2 linked regions of the Elephas maximus indicus genome follow. The protein of the gene in region 1 interacts with the protein of each later gene in a pairwise test. Links are inferred from orthologs where the notes say so. Each region holds a gene or a part of one and is shown on either strand. Other genes may lie near its edges.

The links.
Region 2: the proteins of NR1H2 (region 1) and NPY interact in a two-hybrid assay, tested with the Homo sapiens proteins (3 studies listed by BioGRID and IntAct). The link is inferred for Elephas maximus indicus from reciprocal best matches to the Homo sapiens genes NR1H2 and NPY.

What each region holds. Positions count from the first base shown.
Region 1 is NC_064829.1:98,026,002-98,037,833, forward strand, and holds the start of NR1H2 (oxysterols receptor LXR-beta), read right to left. Parts: upstream 5,388-11,832; 5' UTR 5,257-5,387; intron 5,123-5,256; 5' UTR 5,015-5,122; intron 3,898-5,014; 5' UTR 3,879-3,897; coding exon 3,836-3,878; intron 3,736-3,835; coding exon 3,604-3,735; intron 3,343-3,603; coding exon 3,001-3,342; intron 2,914-3,000; coding exon 2,654-2,913; intron 2,476-2,653; coding exon 2,296-2,475; intron 1,243-2,295; coding exon 1,116-1,242; intron 1-1,115. UniProt on the Homo sapiens protein: Nuclear receptor that exhibits a ligand-dependent transcriptional activation activity. Binds preferentially to double-stranded oligonucleotide direct repeats having the consensus half-site sequence 5'-AGGTCA-3' and 4-nt spacing (DR-4).
Region 2 is NC_064826.1:85,177,717-85,188,949, reverse strand, and holds the start of NPY (pro-neuropeptide Y), read right to left. Parts: upstream 5,390-11,233; 5' UTR 5,267-5,389; intron 4,135-5,266; coding exon 3,947-4,134; intron 1-3,946. UniProt on the Homo sapiens protein: NPY is implicated in the control of feeding and in secretion of gonadotrophin-release hormone.

The sequences.
Region 1 (11,832 bases):
CTTTGCCTAATTCCCACCAAGATGCCCCCCATGACAGCCGACAAACTCTGTGGCATCCTCCTTTGTGTCCCACCGTACAGAGCACCTCTTGTCTCGCTGAAGGCTTGTTATGAGGCGGGCTCACCCCTCACCACCACTTTGGACATAATGAAATGCAGGATCAGCCAGAAGTGTGACAGCCCGAGGTATGCCAGCCAGCAGGGGCCGAGAAGGGTACCAGGTGGCTCCCAAGCCTGCCCGTCATGGATGGACTGTATTCCCTAAAAAGTTATAAGGACGTCCTAATCCCTGTACCTATCAATAGAACCCTGTTTGGAGATAAGGGTTTTTTTGTTATGGTAATGACGTCACATCAGAGTAGGGTGGGCCCTAAAACTAATCCCTTCGCAGTGGTGGTATAAAAATCAGAACAGGCACATACAAGGTCAAGAGAGACACCTGTTAGGACCCATCTACAAGCAAAGGAATGGCAAGGATTGCAGTAGCCACTGGAAACTAGAGGAGAGGCGCCCAGAAGTAACCAACATGGACAACATCCTGCTTTAGACTTTGTTGTTGTTGAGTGCTGCTGAATCATTTTTCACTCGTACTGATCTCATGTGACAGAGCAGAGCTGCCCCCAGTAGAACTGCCCCCTAGGGTTTACTAGGCTGTCATCTTTACAGAGGAGCCCTGGTGGAGCAGTGGTTAAGTGCTTGGCTACTAACTGAAAGGTCGGCGGTTCAAACCCACCAGCCTGCTCCGCAGGAGAAAGATGTGACAGTTTATTTCCATAAAGATTAGAGCTTTGGAAACCCCATGGGGCACTTCGACTCTGTCCTAGAGTCACCATGAGTCAGAATCGACTTGATAGCATCTGGTTTGGTTTGGTTTTGGGTTAATCTTTACAGGAGCAGGTTACCAGGTCTTTTCCCCGGAGAGACCCTGGGTGAGCTTGAACCACTAAGCTTTATGGTAGCAGCTGAGCAGTTAACCTTTGTGCCACCAGGACCTCCCATCTCTGAGACAATAAATGTCTTCCTGAAAGGCCTTGCTACCCCCACACCTCCCCACCCTGCCGTGGTGTTTTTCTGTCACAGCAGCTCTAGGTAACTATGATGCTGCGCTTGGCCTACCCGCACGGTGGAAGTCGTCCTTGCTGTAGGTGAAGTCCTTCAGAAAGGTGATGCACTCCGTCTCATGGTTGTAGCGCCTGGCCGTCTCCAGCAGCATGATCTGAGGGTGGTGGGGACCAGGGGGAGGCTGGGGGCACGAGGGGGCCCTGTGTAACCCTTTAGGCCTCCCCTTTCGGCCCAAGTCAGGGGCTGGTCTCATCAGGATCACTGCTCAACCCTGACCCCTGCTCTCAGCTACATCACCGCTGGTCCACACGTGGAGCTCTCCAGGCTCCTTCCCTCCCCCAGGCTTCAGCACGCACTGCATCCTCCACGTAGCTCATGCTTTTCCCAGATCTGTACCAGGAAGGCAGCAGAAGTGTTCGTCTATCTTTGTCTGTCTGGTTCATTGCTCTATCCCCAACACCTAGGACAGAGCCTGGCACACAGTAGGCTATTGTTGTTCTTAGGTGCCCTGGAGTTGATTCCGACTTGTAACAACCCCATGTGACACAGTAAAACCGCCCCATAGGGTTTTCTAGGCTGTAATCTTTTACGGAAGCAGATCGCCAGGTCTTTCTCTTGAAGAGCCACTGGGTGAGTTCCAAAGCCAACCTTTTGGTTAGCAGCCAAGCACTTAACTGTTGTGCCACCAAGGCTCCTATACAGCAGACAATCAATACTTATTTGTTATCCTGGAGAAAGCCTTCTTGGCACACTCTTCCTAAAGCAGGCCCCTCTAGCCCAGTCCTCAAACTCAACCCCTTGTTCCTTTCTGTCCTGGGATCAGCAAAACTCTGATGGTCCTGTGAATGCATCTGACATCCACTACCTTCCTCTGTAACGAGTCCTTGGGTGGCATTAACAGTTAAGCACTCGACTACTAACTAAAAGGTTGGTGATTTGAACCCACCCAGAGGCGCCTCGAAGACAGGCCTCACAATCTGCTTCCAAAAGGTCACAGCCTTGAAAACCCTATGAAGCAGTTCTACTCTGCACACGTGGAGTCACGAGTCAGAACCGACTCAATGGCAGCTAAGAACAAGAACAACATCTTCCTCCATGGAATGTCTCCTCCAAGAGAGCAGGGACTGGTAAGTCCTGCTTGCCGCTACCCAGCATCTACCCTAGGGCTCCTCTCCAGGGTCCCTCGGAGGCAGGAGGGCAGCGCCTGCCTGGGGATGGGCGGGCCAGCCATTACCTCGATGGTGGATGCCTTGAGGAGAGCGATCTGGTCTTCTCGGCCCAGCTGTAGGAAGCCGGGTACCTGCTTGGCGAAGTCCACAATCTCCTGCACGGAGATGATGGCCAGCTCTGTGAAGTGGGCGAAGCGCTGCTGACGGGCATCACGGGACTGAGGGTCTGCACCCAGAGGCCAGGGCTGAGGACACAGGTGGCCAGAGTCACACAAGACTCTTCCCTGGAACCAGGGCCACGGGGGCACCTGGAGGCCAAGCCTCATCCTCTAGAGCTCCTGCCCTCCCTTGCTTTAGGCCACAGCCCTGCCGGCTCGACCCTGGTGTGCCTGGCCCTCCTCGAGGCTGCACGAGGGCCCATACCGTGACTTTGGGCTGGTCTGAGAAGGAGCGCTTGTTGCACTGCAGCTGGGCCGCCACCAACTGCTGGATCATAAGTTCCTGAGCCGCCGTTAGTTGGACGCCCTCTCCTTCCCCAGAGCCCTGGCTGCCCCCTTCAGGCTCCCCAGGGGAGGCCCCAGGCCCAGAGGATAAGCTGCTGCCACCTCCTGACCCCACGGGTGACTGCTGCTGCTGTTGCTTCTGTATCTTCTTCTTCCGAATCTGTTCTTCGGAGAGGACACCTGTGTGGGCACACGGACCTCAGCAGAGGCTCTAAGGAGAGTGGGCGCCGGGCTGGCACAGCCCCGCATCCCACCGCCCACACTTACACTGCTCCCTCATCCCCGCCTCTTTGCACTTCCGTAGTCGGCACTGCTGGCACTTGCGCCGCATAAAGGCGTCCATCTGACACGTTCCACCGCCCCGGCAGGCATAGCGCCCAGCCCCACCACGGACCACACTGCGCCGGAAGAAGCCCTTGCAGCCCTCGCAGCTGAGTACGTTGTAGTGGAAGCCAGAGGCCTTGTCCCCGCACACGCGGCACAGCTCATGGCCCAGCATCTTGGGAGCTGGGCCCTTCTTCCGCTTGCGCTCTGGCTCCTCCATTGGGTCTGGGATGACTAGGGTGGTCAGATGAAGATCATGAGAGAAGGAGCCACAGGGAGACAGGCCTAAGAGAGGTCCCAGGGTGGAAGCCCGAGCAGGGAGATGTGAACACCCAAGGAGATGGAGACCAGAGAGAAAGATGTGTCAGTGCACCCCAAAGAATGAATCAAAGCAAGAGATGACAAGGGGGAACGAGAGAGGCAAAAAATCAACAAGAGGCAGGGGCTTGCCATCTCCCCATCCTGGTTCTAATCTTTCTACCTTCCCAGATCCCACCTTGAGCCCCAACACCTACTTCCACATCCCATCCTGGGGCCCCATCTCACCCACGCTGCAGGCAGAGCCTGCCCCATCTGTGCCTGGGACATCGGGGTCTGGACCCCCAGGCCAAGGCTCAGGGCCCTCCTCCTTTATAGCAGGTGAAGAAGAGGGGGCTCCAGGCTGAGGGGGGCCATTTCCTGGGAGAGAGGCAACAGGGAGGCACAGTGAGTGCCTCCTTCCTGACCGATGTGTGTGTGTTGCGGGGGGGTGGGCTGGGTGTGGGTGCGGGACACTCACCAGGCAGGGGGCTGTCCAGGGAACTGGTGGTGGGGGTGGACATGGTGGGGTCACGGAGCAGCCTGCAATACAGGGGGATTATGAGCCTCAAAAGGAGTCCTGGTGGCGCAGTAGTTATGTACTTAGCTACTAACTGAAAGGTTGCTCGTTTGAACCCACCAGCTGCTCTGCGGGAGAAAGATGTGGCAGTCTGCTTTGGAACTCTATGGGTAAGGTCTACTCTCCTACAGGGCCACTATGAGTCACAATCGACTCGATGGCAACACATTTTAAGAGACTTGAGGAGTCAGGATGGGTCTCCTCTGAGCTAGTTACATGTGCTAATGAGGTCCCCTCTCCTCCTTCCATCTCTCCCAGACTCCTCCCCAACTCCATAAAGACGCCACCAGGAGCTCCTACCTTCAAACCCTCCCATCCTATTCTAAAAGGCTCTGCCCTTTTTCTGCTCCAGGCTCCTCCCCTCCCCATGTCCCCAGGTCTGGCCCCTTCTGCTCCAAGGCACACCCTACTAAGGTTTTTCCCTCCTACCTGCTACTTCCAGGTCCCACCCTCCTCCTTCAATCCTGCTAAGCATTCACTCCTCCCTCCCATCAAATTCCACCCCACCTGTTCTTATGCGGGTGGCCTGATGGTTAAGACCTACAGCTGCTAACCAAAAGGTCGGCAGTTCGAATCCACCAGGCACTCCTTGGAAACTCTATGGGGCCATTCTACTCTTGGCCTACACAGTCGCTGTGGTTCACAATAGACTCTTAGGCAACAGGTGGGGTCTTTTTGGTTTTACTTATTCAGGAACCCTGGTGGTGCAGAGGTTAAGAGCTACAGCTGCTAACCCAAAGTTCAGCAGTTTGACTCCACCAGCCCCTACCAGATATCCCATGGGGAAGTTCTACTCTGTCCTACAGGGTCACTATAAGGCAGAATCCACCACACGACTACTGGCTTGGGTACTCAGACTCCACGTCACTTCTTCTGAGCAAACTTTAGTTCTGTCCGCATCTTTTCCTTTCAGATCCTCACCCCCTTCTTTCCAAGTTCGGTTCTCATCTCCACCGCTCACGGCCGCCCCCAACATCGTGCTCCAAGCCCCGCCCCATCCGTACCCCCTCTCTACAAGCCCCGCCCCCTCCCCTCCCGTCAGGCTTTTCCCCCTCGCCCCATCATGCTCCGCCCCCACACCTCGCTCCAGGTCCCGCCCCTCTCCAAACACCAGCGGGGGGCGGGGCTCATGGCTGCGCGTGGGGGTCTTCGGGGCGGCCTCTCGCGGGGTCTCCTGGTTCCGTTACCCTGGAAACAGCCGGGGGGCGGTACGAGTTATGAAGGGGCGGGGGAAGAACGAAAGAAGGGGGCTGAATGGAGCGGCGCGGGAAGGGCTGAGATGCCATAGCCCCGGACTCCTCCCACGCCCCCCTCGGGTGCACCTGACTCTGTCCGCTTTCTCTGCTCCGCTTCCTCCTTCTCTGTATCCCCTTGAACGCCGCCACTGCTCCGGTCCCCTCAAAAGTAACTTCGCCACTTCTTCCGGCAACCCCGTCGTGCGTCACCTCCGGAAAAGGGCGGGGAGTGACAGATGACGGAATTCCGGTGCGCGTTACAACAGCTGAATCGGCTGCCCCGCACGAAAGTGGCACACCCACCGGAAGTTTGCCCCCTCCGGGTTGCTCCACTAGGGTGTGGCTGAGGAGTTCCGCGCCAAAGCAATCAAATGTCCTTGAGGGGGCGTTGCCAGTCCCCAACCTTCCCGTCCCGAGCTGTGTGGCCTTAGCGCTTCTGTGGCCTCTCTGGGCCCGCAGCCAAAGATTCGTTATTGTTAGGTGCCCTGGAGTTTAATCCGACTCATAGAGACTGTACGCATAACAGAACTAAACAACGTCCGGTCCTGTGCCATCCTCACAAGCGTTTCTATGCTTAAGCCCATCATTGCAGCCAATGTGTTAATCCGTCTTGTGGTGGTCTTCCTGTTTTTCACTGAGCCTCTACTTTTCCAAGCATGATGTCCTTCTCCACGGACTGGTCTCTCCTAATAACATGTCTGAAGTACATGACACAAGTCTCATCATCCTCTTTACTAATCAGCATTCTGTCTGTCCTAGATTCATACTTCGAGCATTCCATAATCCGATTGTTAGTGGATGTTACAGCTGTTTCTTCTCATTTTGAGTAGTGCCACGACAGCAAATGAGGTTCCGAAAGCTTTACCCCATCCACATCACTAAGGTCAACTCTATTTGAGGAGGCAGCTCTTCCCCAGTCGCCTTTTGAGTGCCTTCCACCATGAGGGGCTTATCATCCTGCACTATATCCGATAATGTTCTGAGACAGGTCTGGGGTCCTGAGGTAAAATTAACCCTCTTGCGAGCAGAAGCTGTAAAAATTCGAAAGCAAACAACATATGGCGTAGGCCGGACACAAGAGAACCAGTATCTTAACCTGAGGCTAAATTTTGAACAATAAGCAACCAGATTTCCCTTAATGCTTCCTCTTAGGATTGTTTTTTAGGCAAACCAACTAAAACTAGAATCCTGCATAGACACAGAAACGATTTGATTGCCCCATGTCATAATTAGTCCTGCCTAGGAACCAAGGAAACCCTGGCGCTTAGTCGTTAAGTGCTACGGCTGCTAACCAAAGGGTGGACAGTTCAAATCCGCCAGGCGCTCCTTGGAAACTCTTTAGGGCAGCTCTACTCTGTCCTATAGGGTCGCTATGAGTTAGAATTGACTCGACGGCACTGGGTTTGGTCTTTTGGTTTGAGGAACCAAGAAACTCATGTCAAGGAACTAAAAACACTGGACATATGTCACCAGATAAAAGCCAGGACCAATTTAGAAGCAAAAGGTCTGAGACCCACTTCTGTGCTAAGTCTTAGCTCAGCTGTTCTTTTAAATATGCTGCTACCCTTCCCCCCCCCCGAATGAGCTCTTTCTATATAATGTTGTCGTTAGGTGCCTTCCAGTCAATTCCGACTCACAGCAACCCTATGCATAATAGAACAAAACAATTCCCAACCCTGTACAAGCCTCACAGTCATTGCTATGCTTGAACACATTGTTGCAACCACTATGTCAGTCCATCTCGTTGAGGGTCTTCCTCTTTTTTGCTGACCCTCTATTTTACCAAGCACGATGCCTTTTCCAGGGACTGATACCTCCTGATAATATGTCCAAAGTACGTGAGACGTAGTCCGGCCAACCTTTCTTCTAAGGAACATTTTGGTTGTACTTCCAAGACAGGCAAATTGTGGAATGACATCATACATGGAGAAAGCAAGAGGTCATTAAAAAAGACAGGAGAGAAAGAAAAGACCTAAATGGATGTCAGAAGAGACTCAGAAACTTACTTTTGAACATCGAGTAGCTAAAGCAAAAGGAAAAAATGATGAAGTAAAAGAGCTGAACAGAATATTTGGAAGGGCAGTCCGAGAAGACAAAGTATTGTGAGGATGTGTACGAAAACCTGGAGATAGAAAACCAAAAGGGAACAACATACTCAGCATTTCTCAGACTGAAAGAACTGAAGAAAACTTCAAGCCTTGAGTTGCAATACTAAAGGATTCTACGGGGAAAATATTAAACAGCAGAAATCATCAAAAGAAGATGGAAGGAATACACAGAGTCACTATACCAAAAAAAAACTTGGTTGACATTCACCCACGTTAAAAGGTAACATATGATCAGGAACCAATGCTACTGAAGGAAGAAGTCCAAGCTGCTCTGAAGGCATTGGCGAAAAACAAGGCTCTGGGAATTGACAGAATACCAGTTGAGATGTTTCAACAAATGGATGCAGCACTGTAAGTACTCACTCATCCATGCCAAGAAATTTGGAAGACAGCTACCTGGCCAGCTGGACTGGAAAAGATCCATATTTATGCCTATTCCCAAGAAAGGTGATCCAGCCAAATGTGGAAATTATCAAACAGTATCATTAATATCACATGCCAGCAAAATTTTGCTGATTCAAAAGCAGGTGCAGCAGTGTATCAACAGGGAAGGGCCAGAAATTCAAGCCAGACTTGGAAGAAGACGTGGAACCAGGGATATCATTGCTGATGTCAGATGGATCCTGGCTGAAAGCAGACAACACCAGAGGGATGTTTTCTTGTTGTTGCTAGGTGCCGTTGAGTCGGTTCCGACTCATAGAGACCCTATGCACAACAGAAAGAAACACTGCCCGGTCCTGCGCCATCCTTACAATCGTTGTCATGCTTGAGCTCATTGTTGCAGCCACTGTGTCAATCCACCTTGTGAGGGTCTTCCTCTTTTCTGCTGGCCCTCTACTCTGCCAAGCATGATGTCCTTCTCCAGGGACTCATCCCTCCTGGCAACATGTCCAAAGTATGTAAGATGCAGTCTCGCCATCCGTGCCTCTAAGGAGCATTCTGGCCACACTTCTTCCAGGACAGATTTGTTCGTTCTTTTGGCAGTCCATGGTATATTCAATATTCTTCGCCAACACCACAGTTCAAAGGCGTCAGCTCTTCTTTGGTCTTCCTTATTCATTGTCCAGCTTTCACACGCATATGATGCGATTGAAAATACCATGGCTTGGGTCAGGCGCACCTTAGTCCTCGGGGTGACATCTTTGCTCTTCAACACTTTGAAGAGGTCCTTTGCAGCAGATTTGCCGAATGCAATGCGTCTTTTGATTTCTTGACTGCTGCTTCGGTGACTGTTGATTGCGGATCCAAGTAAAATGAAATCCTTGACAACTTCAATCTTTTCTCCGTTTATCATGATGTTGCTCATTGGTCCAGTTGTGAGGATTTTTGTTTTCTTTATGTTGAGGTGTAATCCATACTGAAGGCTGTGGTCTTTGATCTTCATTACTAAGTGCTTCGAGTCCTCTTCACTTTTGGCAAGCAAGGTTGTATCATCTGCATAACGCAGGTTGTTAATGAGTCTTCCTCCAATCCTGATGCCCCGTTCTTCTTCATATTGTCCAGCTTCTCGTATTATTTGTTCAGCATACAGATTAAATAGGTATGGTGGAAGAATACAACCCTGACGCACACCTTTCCTGACTTTAAACCAATCAGTATCCCCTTGTTCTGTCCGAACAACTGCCTCTTGATCCTTGTAAAGGTTCCTCATGAGCACAATTAATAGTTCTGGAATTCCCATTCTTCGCAGTGTTATCCATAGTTTGTTATGATCCACAGTCAAATGCCTTTGCATAGTCAATAAAACACAGGTAAACTTCCTTCTGGTATTCTCTGCTCTCCGCCAGGATCCATCTGACATCAGCAATGATATCCCTGGTTTCACATCCTGTTCTGAAACCAGCCTGAATTTCTGGCAGTTCCCTGTCGATATACTGCTGCAGCCGTTTTTGAATGATCTTCAGCAAAATTTTGCTTGCGTGTGATATTAACAATATTGTTCTATAATTTCCACATTCGGTTGGATCACCTTTCTTGGGAATAGGCATAAATATAGATCTCTTCCAGTCAGTTGGCCAGGAAGCTGTCTTCCATACTTCTTGGCATAGATGAGTGAGCACCTCTAGCGCTGCATCTGTTTGTTGAAACACCTCAACTGGTATTCTGTCAATTCCCAGAACCTTGTTTTTCGCCAATGCCTTCAGAGCAGCTTGGACTTCTTCCTTCAGTACCATCGGTTCCTGATCATATGCCACCTCTTGAAATGTTTGAATATCGACTGGTTCTTTTTGGTATAATGACTCTGTGTATTCCTTCCATCTTCTTTTGATGCTTCCTGCATCATTTAATATTTTCCCCATGGAATCCTTCACTATTGCAACTCAAGGCTTGAATTTTTTCTTCAGTTCTTTCAGCTTGAGAAACACTGAGCGTGTTCTTCCCTTTTGGTTTTCCATCTCCAGCTCTTTGCACATGTCATTATAATACTTTATTTTGTCTTCTCAAGAGGCCATTTGTAATCTTCTGTTCAGTTCTTTTACTTCATCAATTCTTCCTTTTGCTTTAGCTGCTCGACGCTCAAGAGGAAGTTTCAGAGTCTCCTCTGACATCCATCTTGGTCTTTTCTTTCTTTCCTGTCTTTTCAGTGACCTCTTGCTTTCTTCATAGATGATGTCCTTGATGTCATTCCACAACTCGTCTGGTCTCTGGTCACTAGTGTTCAATGCGTCAAATCTACTCTTCAGATGGTCTCTAAATTCAGGTGGGATATACTCAAGGTCATATTTTGGCTCTCATGGACTTGGTCTGATTTTCATCAGTTTCAGCTTGAACTTGCATATGAGCAATTGATGGTCTCTTCCACAGTCAGCCCCTGGCCTTGTTCTGACTGATGATATTGAGCTTTTCCATCGTCTCTCTCCATAGATGTAGTCAATTTGATTTCTGTGTGTTCCATCTGGTGAGGTCCATGCGTATAAAAATAGTCACTGTTTATGCTGGTGAAAGAAGGTATTTGCAATGAAGAAGTCGTTGGTCTTGCAAAATTCTATCATTCCATCTCCAGCATTGTTTCTATTACCAAGGCCATATTGTCCAAATACTGATCCTTCTTCTTTGTTTCCAACTTTTGCATTCCAATCACCAGTAATTATCAATGCATCTTGATTGCATGTTCGATCAATTTCAGACTGTAGCAGCTGATAAAAATCTTCTATTTCTTCGTCTTTGGCCCTAGTGGTTGGTGTGTAAATTTGAATAGTCGTATTAACTGGTCTTCCTTGTAGGCGTATGGATATTATCCTATCACTGACAGCGTTGTACTTCAGGATAGATCTTGAAATGTTCTTTTTGACGATGAATGCAACATCATTCCTCTTCAAGTTGTCATTCGCAGCATAGTAGACTATATGATTGTCTGACTCAAAATGGCCAATACCAGTCCATTTCAGCTCACTAATGCCTAGGATATCGATGTTTATGCGTTCCATTTCATTTTTGGTGATTTCCAATTTTCCTAGATTCATATTTCATGCATTCCAGGTTCTGATTATTAATGGAAGTTTGCAGCTCTTTCTTCTCATTTTGAATTGCGCCACATCAGCATATGAAGGTCCCGGAAGCTTTACTCTATCCACTCATTAAGGTTGACTCTACTTTGAGGAGGCAGCTCTTCCCCAGTCATCTTTTGAGTGCCTTCCAACCTGGCGGGCTCATCTTCCAGGACTATATTAGACAATGTTCCACTGCTATTCGTAAGGTTTTCACTGGCTCATACTTTTCAGAAGTAGACTGCCGGGTCCTTCTTCCTAGTCTGTCTTAGTCTGGAAGCTCAGCTGAAACCTGTCCTCCATGGGTGACCCTGCTGGTATCTGAATACCGGTTGCATAGCTTCCAGCATCACAGCAACACACAAGCCCCCACAGTACGACAAACTGACAGACACGTGGGGGAGAGATGTTTACCTGTGTTTTATTGACAATGCAAAAGGCATTTGGCTGTGTAGCTCATAACAAATTATCAAAAACACTGCAGAGAACGGGAATTCTGGAACACTTAATTGTCGTTGTGAGGGATCTGTACTTGGATCAAGAGTCAGCCGTTTGAAAAGAACAAGGGGATACTACATGGTTTAAAGTCAGGAAAGGTGTGGGATAGGGTTGTATCCTTTCACCATATAGGTAGTAATCAGATAATATATATACATATACGAGAATATATGATGCGTACGTTTTTGTAACTTGTGCTGTCCACTAAACAGTACAATACAAAGATCCTTTTATGCTCAGCAAATGCACTACCCATTCCTGGCCTTTGAGGCCGTGGAATTTTCCACCCAAGCATGTTAGCAGTAAAGCAAATAGTTAATGTGGGTGTCCTGGTCTGGCAGAACTGGGTGTCTGACACTTCCTCGTTGTGTAATGTTGAGGCAAATTACTCAACGTCCCTGTGCCTCGGTTCTCATCTGTAAACAAGGGACAAAAGAAAGAATTGACTTCAGTGCATTGTTGTTATGATTAAATGAGGTAAACAGCATGAACTGGGCCAGGCTCAAATAAGGAACTTGATACTTTGGAACTGTGTTTATTTTTATAGACATCAAAATTATTTCTAACTT
Region 2 (11,233 bases), on another chromosome or scaffold:
CCCCATTCCCTAAAAAGGCATTGGTCACCAGCAGCAGGACCTTTCACAGATGAAAAACTAGCCTAGCAGGGACAGATTAACAGGCAAAATAGCTGCACAAAGCTGACAGGAGGTGCACTCTAACTGCATAACCAACACAGTTAACTCTAAATTTTTGGTAAGCATTTTCCTGTTCTTGCTCCTTTGCTGAGGCTCGTGGAAAGCAAAAGCAAAACAAACTCTGCTGGCACCCCATCATTTGTAAGATTTTCTCAAAGGTTTTCTGGGGTTGTGATATCAAACTGTAAGCAGCTGCTTATACTTACTCTGCCCAGTTGATTTTACTAATATTAAAATCTTAAAAAGAAAAACCCGTTGCGTTGATTCCGACTCATAGTGAGCCTATAGGACAGGGTAGAACTGCCCCATAAAGTCTCCAAGGAGCACCTGGTGGATTCGAACTGCCAGCCTTTTGGTTAGCAGCCGTAGCACTTAACCACTACGCCATGAGGGTTTCAATTAAAATCTTGGGCACCCTTAACTCATTTATCTTCATTGTGCTCCAGTAAGTGAAAGAAGTGGCAAATATTATCTCCAATTTACCAGTCAAGAAACTAAATCTATAATAGCAAGATTTGCTCAATCATAAAACAAGTAGCATCCAGAGCAGCGTTCACTATTCCTCCTTCTCTAATTCTGGATTGCCCTGTTTCTCCACTATGCTCTAACTTTCAAAGATTGAGTCTCAAGGACAATGATTCTCAACCTGACTGCACGTTAGAATCGCCTGGGGAGCTTTTTTAAAAATTGCCAAAGCTCAGCCCACCCCCTAGCGATTCTGACTTAATTCATCAGGGGTGGAGCCCAGCATCAGTATATTTTAAAAGCTCCCCAGGTGATTCTAACGTTCAGCCAGGGTGGAGAAACACTCATCAAGGGCAGGGTTTCTCAACTTTGGCCCTACTGACATTTTGGGCCACATAATTCTTTGCTGTAGGCAGCTGTCCTGTGCACTGTAGCATCCCTCCCCTCTACCCACTACATGTCAATAGTACCCCTCCAGGTGTGACAAGCAGAAATGTCTCCAGACAATACTAAATGCCCCCACCCCCAGAGGAGTGGTAAAATTGCCCCTGGTTGAGAAAAACTGATCTATAGGACTGTGTAGGAGTCCCTGGGTGGTGCAAATGGTTAAAAATGCTCAGTTGCTGACCAAAAGGTTGCAAATTCAAATCCACTCAGAGACACCTTGGAAGAAAGGCCTGGCAATCTAATTCCAAAAAATCAGACATGGAAAACCCTAGAGAGCACAGTTCTACTCTGAAATACATGGGGTCACCATGAGTAGAAGTCAACTCTATGGCTTCATGGCTCCTGGTTTTTTGAGGAACGTGTACGCAAAATATGGTAGATTCACACTCTAGAAAATCAGTGGTATAGGCAGCCAATGAATATAGCTTAAAATAATTATTAAGTAGAGAAAAGGAAGAAGGGAAATGACATCTTACGAGAGTTTTTTACCAAATTAAAACATATATTCACAAAGTGACACAGTAATTTTCCACAGCACATACATACTCAAGAATATACGCCAAACACGTTGAGTGGGTGTCTGTGATTCGAAGGCACTGAAAGCGCAGAAAGGAAAGGAAGGGTACAGACTGTGAGCATCTCACGGGTTTTAAGAAGGAACTTATAAGGACAATGAGACAGTTAAGCCCACACATCTCTGCTAAGTGAGGGGTATTTTTGTGTGTGACATTAGGAAAAAAATAAATCAAGAAATTCCTGAGGCCAGCCCTCCACTTTCTGGTGGGGCTGTACATAAAGAAACCATCATCTAATTTCCTGGAGGAAACAAAGGGAACATGGTACACTATCTATTCGCAACCTAACATTTGCTCTGGGTGAAGGCACTCTAGACAGGAAACTGCCTCGGGGAGGGGGTAGGGGGGACTTGTTCCCATCTAACCTGCATCCCTTCCCGTGAAACTCAAGTTCCTTTCTCCTTATTTTTTCCTTATCAAAGGTGTTGAAGAGATCACATCATTGATGGTGATGACAATATTCAAGGAAAATTAATAGGATGGCTCCAGTTCCATCACCCCTAAAGCAAAAGCAGTCATGAAATGCCCTTAGTTTCATGATCTGTAAAATGGACATAATTATACACACCTCAAAGTTCTGGGTAAAAACTAAATGAGATAATGCCTAAGAAAATATTTTGAAATGGTAGAGCTTTAAACAATGGGAAATGGGCATCACCTTGGAAAAAATAAGTTCCATTGTATATAGTGCGGTAGCTGAAATAACCAATAAAGGTTTAGCCTAGAAAAAAATAAGGCAGTGATTTAAAAGACAAATCTTGTTATTTGTCAAAGTTTGTTTTGTATGATAGCATAAGCAAGAATTTGAAGCAAGGAGCTTTTCTGGAAAGTCTATTAGGGTACACAATGTTATTGCTTTTCCCTGATTAAAATGATCAGATTTCAACAGGTCACAAACCAACACTATTTAATTCTGGCATTTCTGTGTATTCCTAATAACTATATAAATATATAAAGCTTTTTCTAAACCTTTTTGGGATGTCATACTCCTTTTTGATGAAACAGAAGAAAAGAAATTTTTATTTAAATAAAATAAATTCTCCCCCGTTTGGATCCTTTCCAAATATTCCCTGATTTGTAAACAGTGAAATTTTGGTACCGAAAGTTAAAAAAAAAAAACTTTATAAAACATAATCTAAACATATTAAGTAACACTAATGCTTTGAAGGGTTTATCCCACATAGCTTATTAAGGCGTTAAAATAAGATATTAAACGATTTATCTGTAAGGGGTACCAATTGTGGAAACAATTTTTAAATTCTATATTATCTGTAGGAACCCTGGTGGCCCACTGGTTAAAGTGTTCAGCAGTTAACCAAAAGGTCAATGGGTTTCCACCAGCTGCTCTGTGGGAGAAAGATGTCCCACGCAGTCTGCTTCCGTGAAGATTACAGCCTTGGAAACCCTATGGGGCAGTTCTACTCTGTCCTATAGTGTGAAGATGAGTCGCAATCACCTCGAGGGCAGTGGGTTTGGTTTTGGTATATTATCTGTAAAATAGTTTGGCTTTGCCATCTTGCTTAATATTCAATGCTGAGAGTGAAAAGGTGGTATTCAATTTTGGCTTTCTGGGGGTTCTTAGGAAAATCTTAGGATTTCTCAGATTCCTTGGAAACCCGGATTCATCCTAGAGTGAGTAGATCTATGTAAGTTTCTCCTTAATAAACTATCAGGTGAGCACGTTCTTTACAGAAGTCACCTGCTGTAAAATAAGCAAAGTTTCTGCACCTCAGATCCACTGGTTATATGCTAAATCTCTAGTTATAGGGACTGAAATGCTCAAGTAAGGATCTGAGACTGCAAAAAAACACTGTACAGAAGGAAAAAATGATACCTCTCTTGGTCCTTTCCTAAGTATTGTCATTCAATTTGGCCCAGGCAGGTCGGAACATCAGGGAGTGTCTTTGGCAGCAAGCTGTATCCTTGTGCTTTATTTGTTTGTTCATGTGTTTGCTGCTTTCTAGACACTCTGGTCACCCACTCTGGTCACCCTCTCCCTTCCGCACTTCCCTAGAGCACTCCTGCCTCCTTTCACGGGTCATTTTCCCATCCAGGTTTCTAGACAGACCCCCAACGGCTCTAAGAACAATAAAAGACGAGGGAGTGGGTGGGAGGAGACCGCCAGCCACACAGCCTGGGGAACTGGAATCTGTGGGTAATGAATCTGTGACTGTAGTTGCAGCCTGGAAGTACCCAGTTTCCTGCACAAACATTTACTGAGCGCTGAGGATTTGTCTGATACTGCCCTGGCCTTAGTACGCTGCGAGGTAAAAGAAACGGTCCCTGTCCCTTAAGATCTCCAGGGTCCCAGGAATACAGACCGGGCAGGCCCCGAGTCGGGTCCCGTCGAGCTCACCCACCTCTGCCTGGTGATGAGGTTGATGTAGTGCCGCAGAGCCGAGTAGTATCTGGCCAAGTCCTCCGCCGGCGCGTCCTCGCCGGGGTTGTCCGGCTTGGAGGGGTACGCCTCGACCAGCGCGCCCAGGCACACGAGCAAGGACAGGGCAAGGGTCAGTCCGGACAGCCCCAGTCGCTTGCTACCCAGCATCTGCGGGCACAGAAGGTGCGGGGGAGGGGCTTCAGAACTGGGGGACACTATCCACAGCACCTCCTTCCTCTGCCTTCCCGCACCTCCCGCTGCTAGCAACTGCGACCCGCAATTCCTCCTCGACCCAGCCCCGCAGAGGGAACCCGAGCGTGGCGAGCACCACCCTGCCGGCTCAGAGAACAATCTGCCCTGGCCTGGCCCCTCTACTCCGTCCGAAAACTCCGCGCAACTTAGCCGCAAAGCGCAGGGCGACGAGTCGTGTGGCGAGAGAAGTAAGTTGGAGGGCCCCCCGTGCCCGTTAGACGCTTTTAAACAGAAAGAAAAGTTCTCCCTGCTAGGTGAAAAACTATCATTTTCCTACCCTCTACTACTCCAAATCTCTGTCGGAGAAAACTTTCTTTTCTCTAACTTTTGGTCTGCAGGAGGCGTCCTCGACAGTGGTGGCTGAGATCACCATGGGGAGGCAGGGTTTTTGTTTTTGTTTTTGTTTTGGTAAATGGTGGGGGTGGAAGGGAGAGAATTGCTTGCTGGCACCAAAGTCATTGCCTTCAAGTCGATTTCGACTCAAAGCGACCCTACAGGATAGAGTAGAACTGCCCCGTAGGGTTTCCAAGGAGCCCAGATGGTTTCCAACTGCCGACCTTTTTGGTTAGCAGCCGAGTTCTTAACCACTGGCTGGCACAGCAGGTCTCAATTCGGATCCCGAGGGTCCCGGGGGTGAAAGGGCTCCCCAGTGCCCGGGATTCCTCTGTTAGGGCGCTACCCAGCAAACCTCCCTCTCGCGAACCACCCTCTGGGCTTCCACGAGGCGACCCTGGAGCAGACCGCCGGCTGCTCTGGGTTGGGGGTCCTGTGTTCTCCGTTTTCTCCAAAAACTAACCCAGAGGGACCACCCAGCCTGAAGGGCCCGGAAGAAGGGAGGATGGACAATCACAGGGGACCCAGAAGAGGAGCAAGTGGAGTTTAGCCGCCGAGAGCGGCGCGGAGAGGGCAGAGCGCGGCGCGCAGAGCTGGGGACCCGGGCGCGACCCTCCCAGGACTCCAGGGATCGCGGAGGTTGAGAGCGCACCCCGGACAAGTTCGCCCGCGCTCTCTACCCTCGGGTGCGGGCCGAGCAGGTGGTGGTACTCACGGTGGCGGGCTGGCGGGCGGTCGGGCGTGGCCAGGCGGTGAGTGCTCTGCAGTCGGGCTCGCCTCTCCGCGGGATGAGAGCTGTCTGGTGGGGTGTCGAGAGCGGGTCGCAACAGGGCTTTTATGGCACTCCCTCGTCGCGGCAGGAGGGGCCTCGGGCAATCACGCTCCAGTGACTCCCACTCCGCCACTCCCCCCCCCCCCCCCGCCGCCGACTTCGAGTCGCGGAAGGAGGGGGCTGGAGCCGCAGCCGCACGAGCGTTGGCCTCCGGAGCCGCCCACGCCCCAACGCCCCGGCTCCAGGCCAGGTCCAGGAAAGGCGAGCTGGGCGAGCGCACGCGGTCCGAGGGCGCAGAGGACGCCAAAGCTAGCCCTGCGCTCCCGCGGCGCCTCAACTCCGCTTCCCTTTACGACCGGCCTAGTTTTGCCAAGATCTTTGGGCAAGACATAGCCCAGGTCACCTTTGTCGCCTGTCCTCGGGACCACCAGCAGGCGCCGGGGTAAGAGACACTTGAGTCCCCTACTTGGATGGAGCATCTTCGGGACCCGCGCCGGGCACAACTTTGTGCGCTTTCGGAGGGAAGCAACTTGGCGCACATTGTCCCTCATTTATCCGGCAGGTCGGAGGCGGCTGACGGACCTACCCAGCTAGAGAATCACAAACACCGCTCCCTAATGAGCTAAGAACGGACTTCCATGGCTTTGGCCCCCTTCCCCAGCTTGTTTTTCTGGGAGATTAGCCCTTCCCAAAGACTTGCCCAAATGCTGCGAGCCCGGCTAGGTGAGGACCTGAAAGACTGTGGCTGCTAAAACTCTTCAGGGGCGGAATACGGTAAATCCAATTCCACCATTTGCTGGAAAAGTGCCACCTTTCCAGTGTCTGAAGACTCCTTAAAGCGCGATCAAACAAAAAAGTTTGGTCCAAGGTGGCCGGTATAAAAGAACTGCAGTTTCTCCGTTTATCTCCTGGCCCTTTGTATACAGGTGGGGTAGTAATTAAGATCTACGGTTGCTAACCAAAAGGTCGGCAGTTCGAATCCCCCAGGCGCTCCTTGGGGGCAGTTCTACTCTGTACTATAGGGTCACTGTGAGTCGGAATCGACTCTACCTCAACGGGTTTGGTTTTAGTTTGGTTACGTGTGTTCAATTAACATTAGCTGAGAATTAATTAATTGTGTTCTGACTGAAATAAAAACAGGCTTTCAGAAAATGATCAACATTAATTTGCACATCGCGTTAAACCTGTTGAGTGTATATGAAAAATAGACCACATACTATTCTTAAAAGATCAGGGTTTTATGTAGTGGACTGCAATCTTAAAGTTCCCTGAATGAATAAGCCTAGAAGTCTGAATGTTACTGATTAAAATGGCACGTTAGGGAATAAAAACGTTAAGTTACAAGTTGCTTGAATGCCAAAATGACAAGTGATTCTGTTAAAATGTTTTGACAGCATTCAATTAAATATCAATTACTTAAGCAACCCTAATACACACACACAAATGCAATCAATAAGCAGGTTATGAATTCCGAAAACCCATATCCCTTCCACTTTGTTCCTCTTTCCATGTTACAGAAATAACATGCCCAGAGCACACATGTATCAGGGCTCTCAGCTTTGCTCAGAGAGTGCTCATGTGAAAACATCTTCGGTAAAAGAGCAAAACATTGTCTAATTTAGAGCCCTTTCTAGAAAAGAGGAAAGACACCATCTACTTTTCAATAAAATAATCTAATTTTTAGAGTGTATCACAAATTCCTATCATTTAAAACCTCATAGAAGGAGCCACTGAATTCGGGAGAAATTACTTCTAAGGATTTGTGCCAGCCTTCAGTGGGGAGCACTAGGGAAATTTGACGATTTAGCTGCAGATAATGTCACTGGCACCCAAGAATAAGAATCCATTCTCAGGGGGCAGCATTGAGAAAATAAAAAACAAGAAGTGATGTGCTCCACATGTATCTTACAAACATCTTTATTCCTTTCTCTCCAGTCCAAAACGCACCCCCTCACCACCATGGGCACTGAATATTCTCCTTCTCTCTTAGGACCTTGTTCCGTCAATTGCCTCCTTTCTTTCCTATACTTTTCACCTCCTTCAGCTTAAAAATTTGCTTGGGTTTACACTGTAAAAGAAACAAAGCAAAGCTACCACCCCAAACAAACAAAAACAACTGTCTCTCAACTCAGCATCTCCTTTAAGCTGCTGAACCATTTCTCTACTTTGTTTCAAAGTTAAGCTTGCATTTATGTATGTATGTTTGCATGTTATTTATTTATTCAGCCTTATTGAGGTACAGTTGGGATGCAATAAGCTACAAATGTTTAAATATTCAATTTTATAAATTCTGACATATATTACACATATACTGTGGTCACCAGGAATCAGAATTAACTCAACAGCAATGGGTTTGGGTTTTGCGTGTTCATAAAGCCATCATCATCATCAAGATAATGAACGTGTGCATCACCCCCAATAGTTTCCGCAGGTTCTTTTGTAATTCTTCCCTCCAACCTCTCTCCAACCCCTTCCTCCAGGCAACCTCTTATCTGCTTTCTGTCACTATAAATGCATTTTCATTTTCTAGAATTGTATATAAATATAGGTTTTTGTTTTTTATAATCCCACAGTACGTACTCTTCTGTCGGAGGCAGCTGCCTTCTTTCACTCAGCGTCGTTATTGTAGATCCACCCATGTTCGACTCGACGGCACTGGGCGCTTTGTTGCATGTATCGATGGTTTGTTCCTTTATTACTGGGTAGTGTTCCATTGTATGACTATACCTCAGTTTTGTTTTGTTTTTTAATCCATTTACCTGCTCACAGACTTTGGGTTGTTTCCAGTTTTCACTTTTACGAATAAAGCTGCTATAAACGTTCATTTACAAGTCTGTGCATGGGTATGTTCTTTCATTTCTTTTGGGAAAATACTTAGGGGTGGAATAGCTGGGACGTATTGTAGCTGGTATGTTGCCCCACAGTTCACAAATTGTCTGTTCTTTGTTTTGTTTCCTATGTATTTTATTTTTTATAGTTTCCATTCCTATCTTTAAGTTCACTAATCTTTTCTTCTGCAATGGCTAATTGGTGTTGATCTTATCCAGTGCATTTTATACCTCAGAGCATGTAGTTTTCATCTCTAGAAGTTCAATTTGGATTTTTTTTTAGTATCTTTCGTGTCTCTGCTTAGTATGCTTGATCTTTTCTCTAGCTTCTTGAATAAAAATTAATAGTAACTTGATTATTAATTCTTCTAATTATAGCTTATACTTTTCCTTCTTTGTATGTCTTGTATTTTTTTATACGAAGGCAGACATTGTAATTCTACCATGTTGTCTGTTGGATATTTTTGTATTCCTACAAATATTCTTAATTTTTGTCCTGGGATGCAGTTAAAAACCTGGGAACAATTTGACACATTTGGTTCTTCCTTTTAAGTTTTGTTAGATGGGATCAGAGCTGAATTTAGTCCAAGGTTAATAGTTCCCCATTATTGAGGCAAGACTTTTCTTACTTTAACTGTCGCCTCCTGAATGGTGCAGTTTTCCACTCTGACTGTTGGAACAGGCACTATTCCTGGCCTTGTGTGAACACTGGGCCCTGTTTCCTTTAATTCTTTTGTTCTTTCCCTGTCTTGGGTAGTTTTCGACCATGTATGATCTGATCTGTAATCAACTGATTACTAGAGAGGAACCCTCTGCAGATCTCCAGAGTTCTCTCTCTCTGCAGCTCTCTCCAATCCTGTATTCTACCTGAGAGCTCTAGCTGCCCTGGCTTCCCCAGACTCCTAGCTCCATCTCTTCAACTGAGCTGCCATTCTTTGTGTTGATTCCTCCCCTTGTGCACTACAGCCTGGAAAATTTCTTCAGGCAGTAAGCTGGGACCATTACAGGACTCCCCTCATTTGTTCCCCTCCTTTAGGAGATAGCTGTCCCATGTTGCCTGATGTCCAGTGCCTTGAGTGCCATTGTTTAGCATATATTTTCCAGTTTTTTTAGTTGTTTCAGATGAGAGGGTAAATTCAGTTCCTGTTTCTTCCTTTTGACCAGAACTACAAGTCTCAGAGCAAAGCTTTTTTTAAAAAAAATGTTTCCACTCCTTGCCTCTGCTTCTTCAGCTTTGGTTTGGTCATAAGACACTGAAATATAGGTTCTGTCTGTTCAAGGTACTGAACCTGTATCAGTAAGATCATGCTGATTGCAACCCCATAAACCTTCACTACTTATTTGACTTCTCTTGACCATTACCTTCACTGGTCTCCTCTAGCTTACCACCTTTCCCTCTGACCTTGCCCCAGTTTCTTTTGCTGACTAGTCCTTCTGTACCCCAAGTCTCAGCCTCAACTTTGATCTTTTTCCATTTTACATACACTGAGTGATCAAGCTCATATACTCCTATGGCTCATGAGTCTGAAATCTCTACCACTAGCTCAGCACTAGCTCAGGCATTGTAGATTATATCTAAATTATCCAAAGTGGAGCTTCCATTAACATCAATTCCTAATTCTATAGCATTGTAGGAGAAAGACATTTACCTGTGTTTTGTTTTTTTTTTTGACTATGCAAAGGCATTCAACTGTGGGGATCATAACAAATTACGGATAACATTGAGAAGAATGGGAATTCCAGCACACTTTATTGTGCCCCTGAAGAACCTGTATATAGACCAAGAGGCAGTTGTGCAAACAGAATAAGGGGATACCACATGGTTTAAAGTCAGAAAAGGTGTGCGTCTGGGTTATAACCTTTCAGCATAGTTGTTCAATCTGAATGCTAAGCAAATAATCCAAGAAGCTGGACTATATGAAGAAGAACACAGTGTCAGGATTGGAGGAAGACTAATTAACAACCTGTGATATGCAAATGACACAACCTTACTTGTTGAAAATGAAGAGGACTTGAAGCACTTGATGAAGATCAAAGACCACAGCCTTCAGTATGGATTATACCTCAACGTAAAGAAAACAAAACTCACAACTGGACAAATAAGGAACATCATGATAAATGCAAAAAACATTGAAGTTGTCAAGGATTAAATTTTACTTGAATCCACATCAGTGCCCATGGAAGCAGCAGTCAAGAAATCAAAGGATGTATTGAATTGGGCAAATCAAAAGACCTCTTTAAAGTGTTAAAAACAAAGATGTCACTTTGAGGACTAAGGTATTCCTGACCCAAGTCATGGTATTTCCAACCACCTCATATGCATGGGAAAGCTGGACAATGAATAAGGAAGACCGAAGAAGAAATGATCTCTTCGAATTATGATGTTGGTGAAGAAAATTGAATATACCATGGATTGCTAGAAGAAGGAACAAATCTGTCTTGGAAGAAGTACAGCCAGAATGCTCCTTAGAAGCAAGGATGGTGAGACTTCATCTCACATACTTTGAGCAGGTTATCAGGAGGGACCAGTCCCTGGAGAAGACATAATGCTTGGTAAAGTAGAGGATCAACAAAAAAGAGGAAGACCCTCAGCGAGTGACACAGTGGCTGCAACAATGGGCTCTAAGATAGCAATGACTGTGAGGATGGCACAGGACCAGGCAGTGTTTCCTTCTGTTCCACATAGGGTCACTAGGAGTAGGAACCGACTCGATGGCACCTGTTATGGATTGAATTGTGTCTGCCAAAAATGTGTGTCAACTTGGCTAGGCCATGATTCCTCATACTGTGTGATTGTACACAATTTTGTTAGCTGATGTGATTTTCTCACATGTTGTAAATCCTACCTCTATGAGGTTAATGAGACAGGATTAGAGGCAGTTACATTAATGAGGCAGGGCTCAGTCTATAAGATTAGGTTGTATCTTGAGTCCATCTCTTCTGAGATATAAACGAGAGAAGCAAGCAGAAAGACAGGAGGACCTCATACCACCAAGAAAGAAGCACCAGAAGCAGAGCACATGCTTTGGACCCAGGGTCCCTGCACCTGAGAAGTTCCTAGACCAGGGGAGGATTGATGACA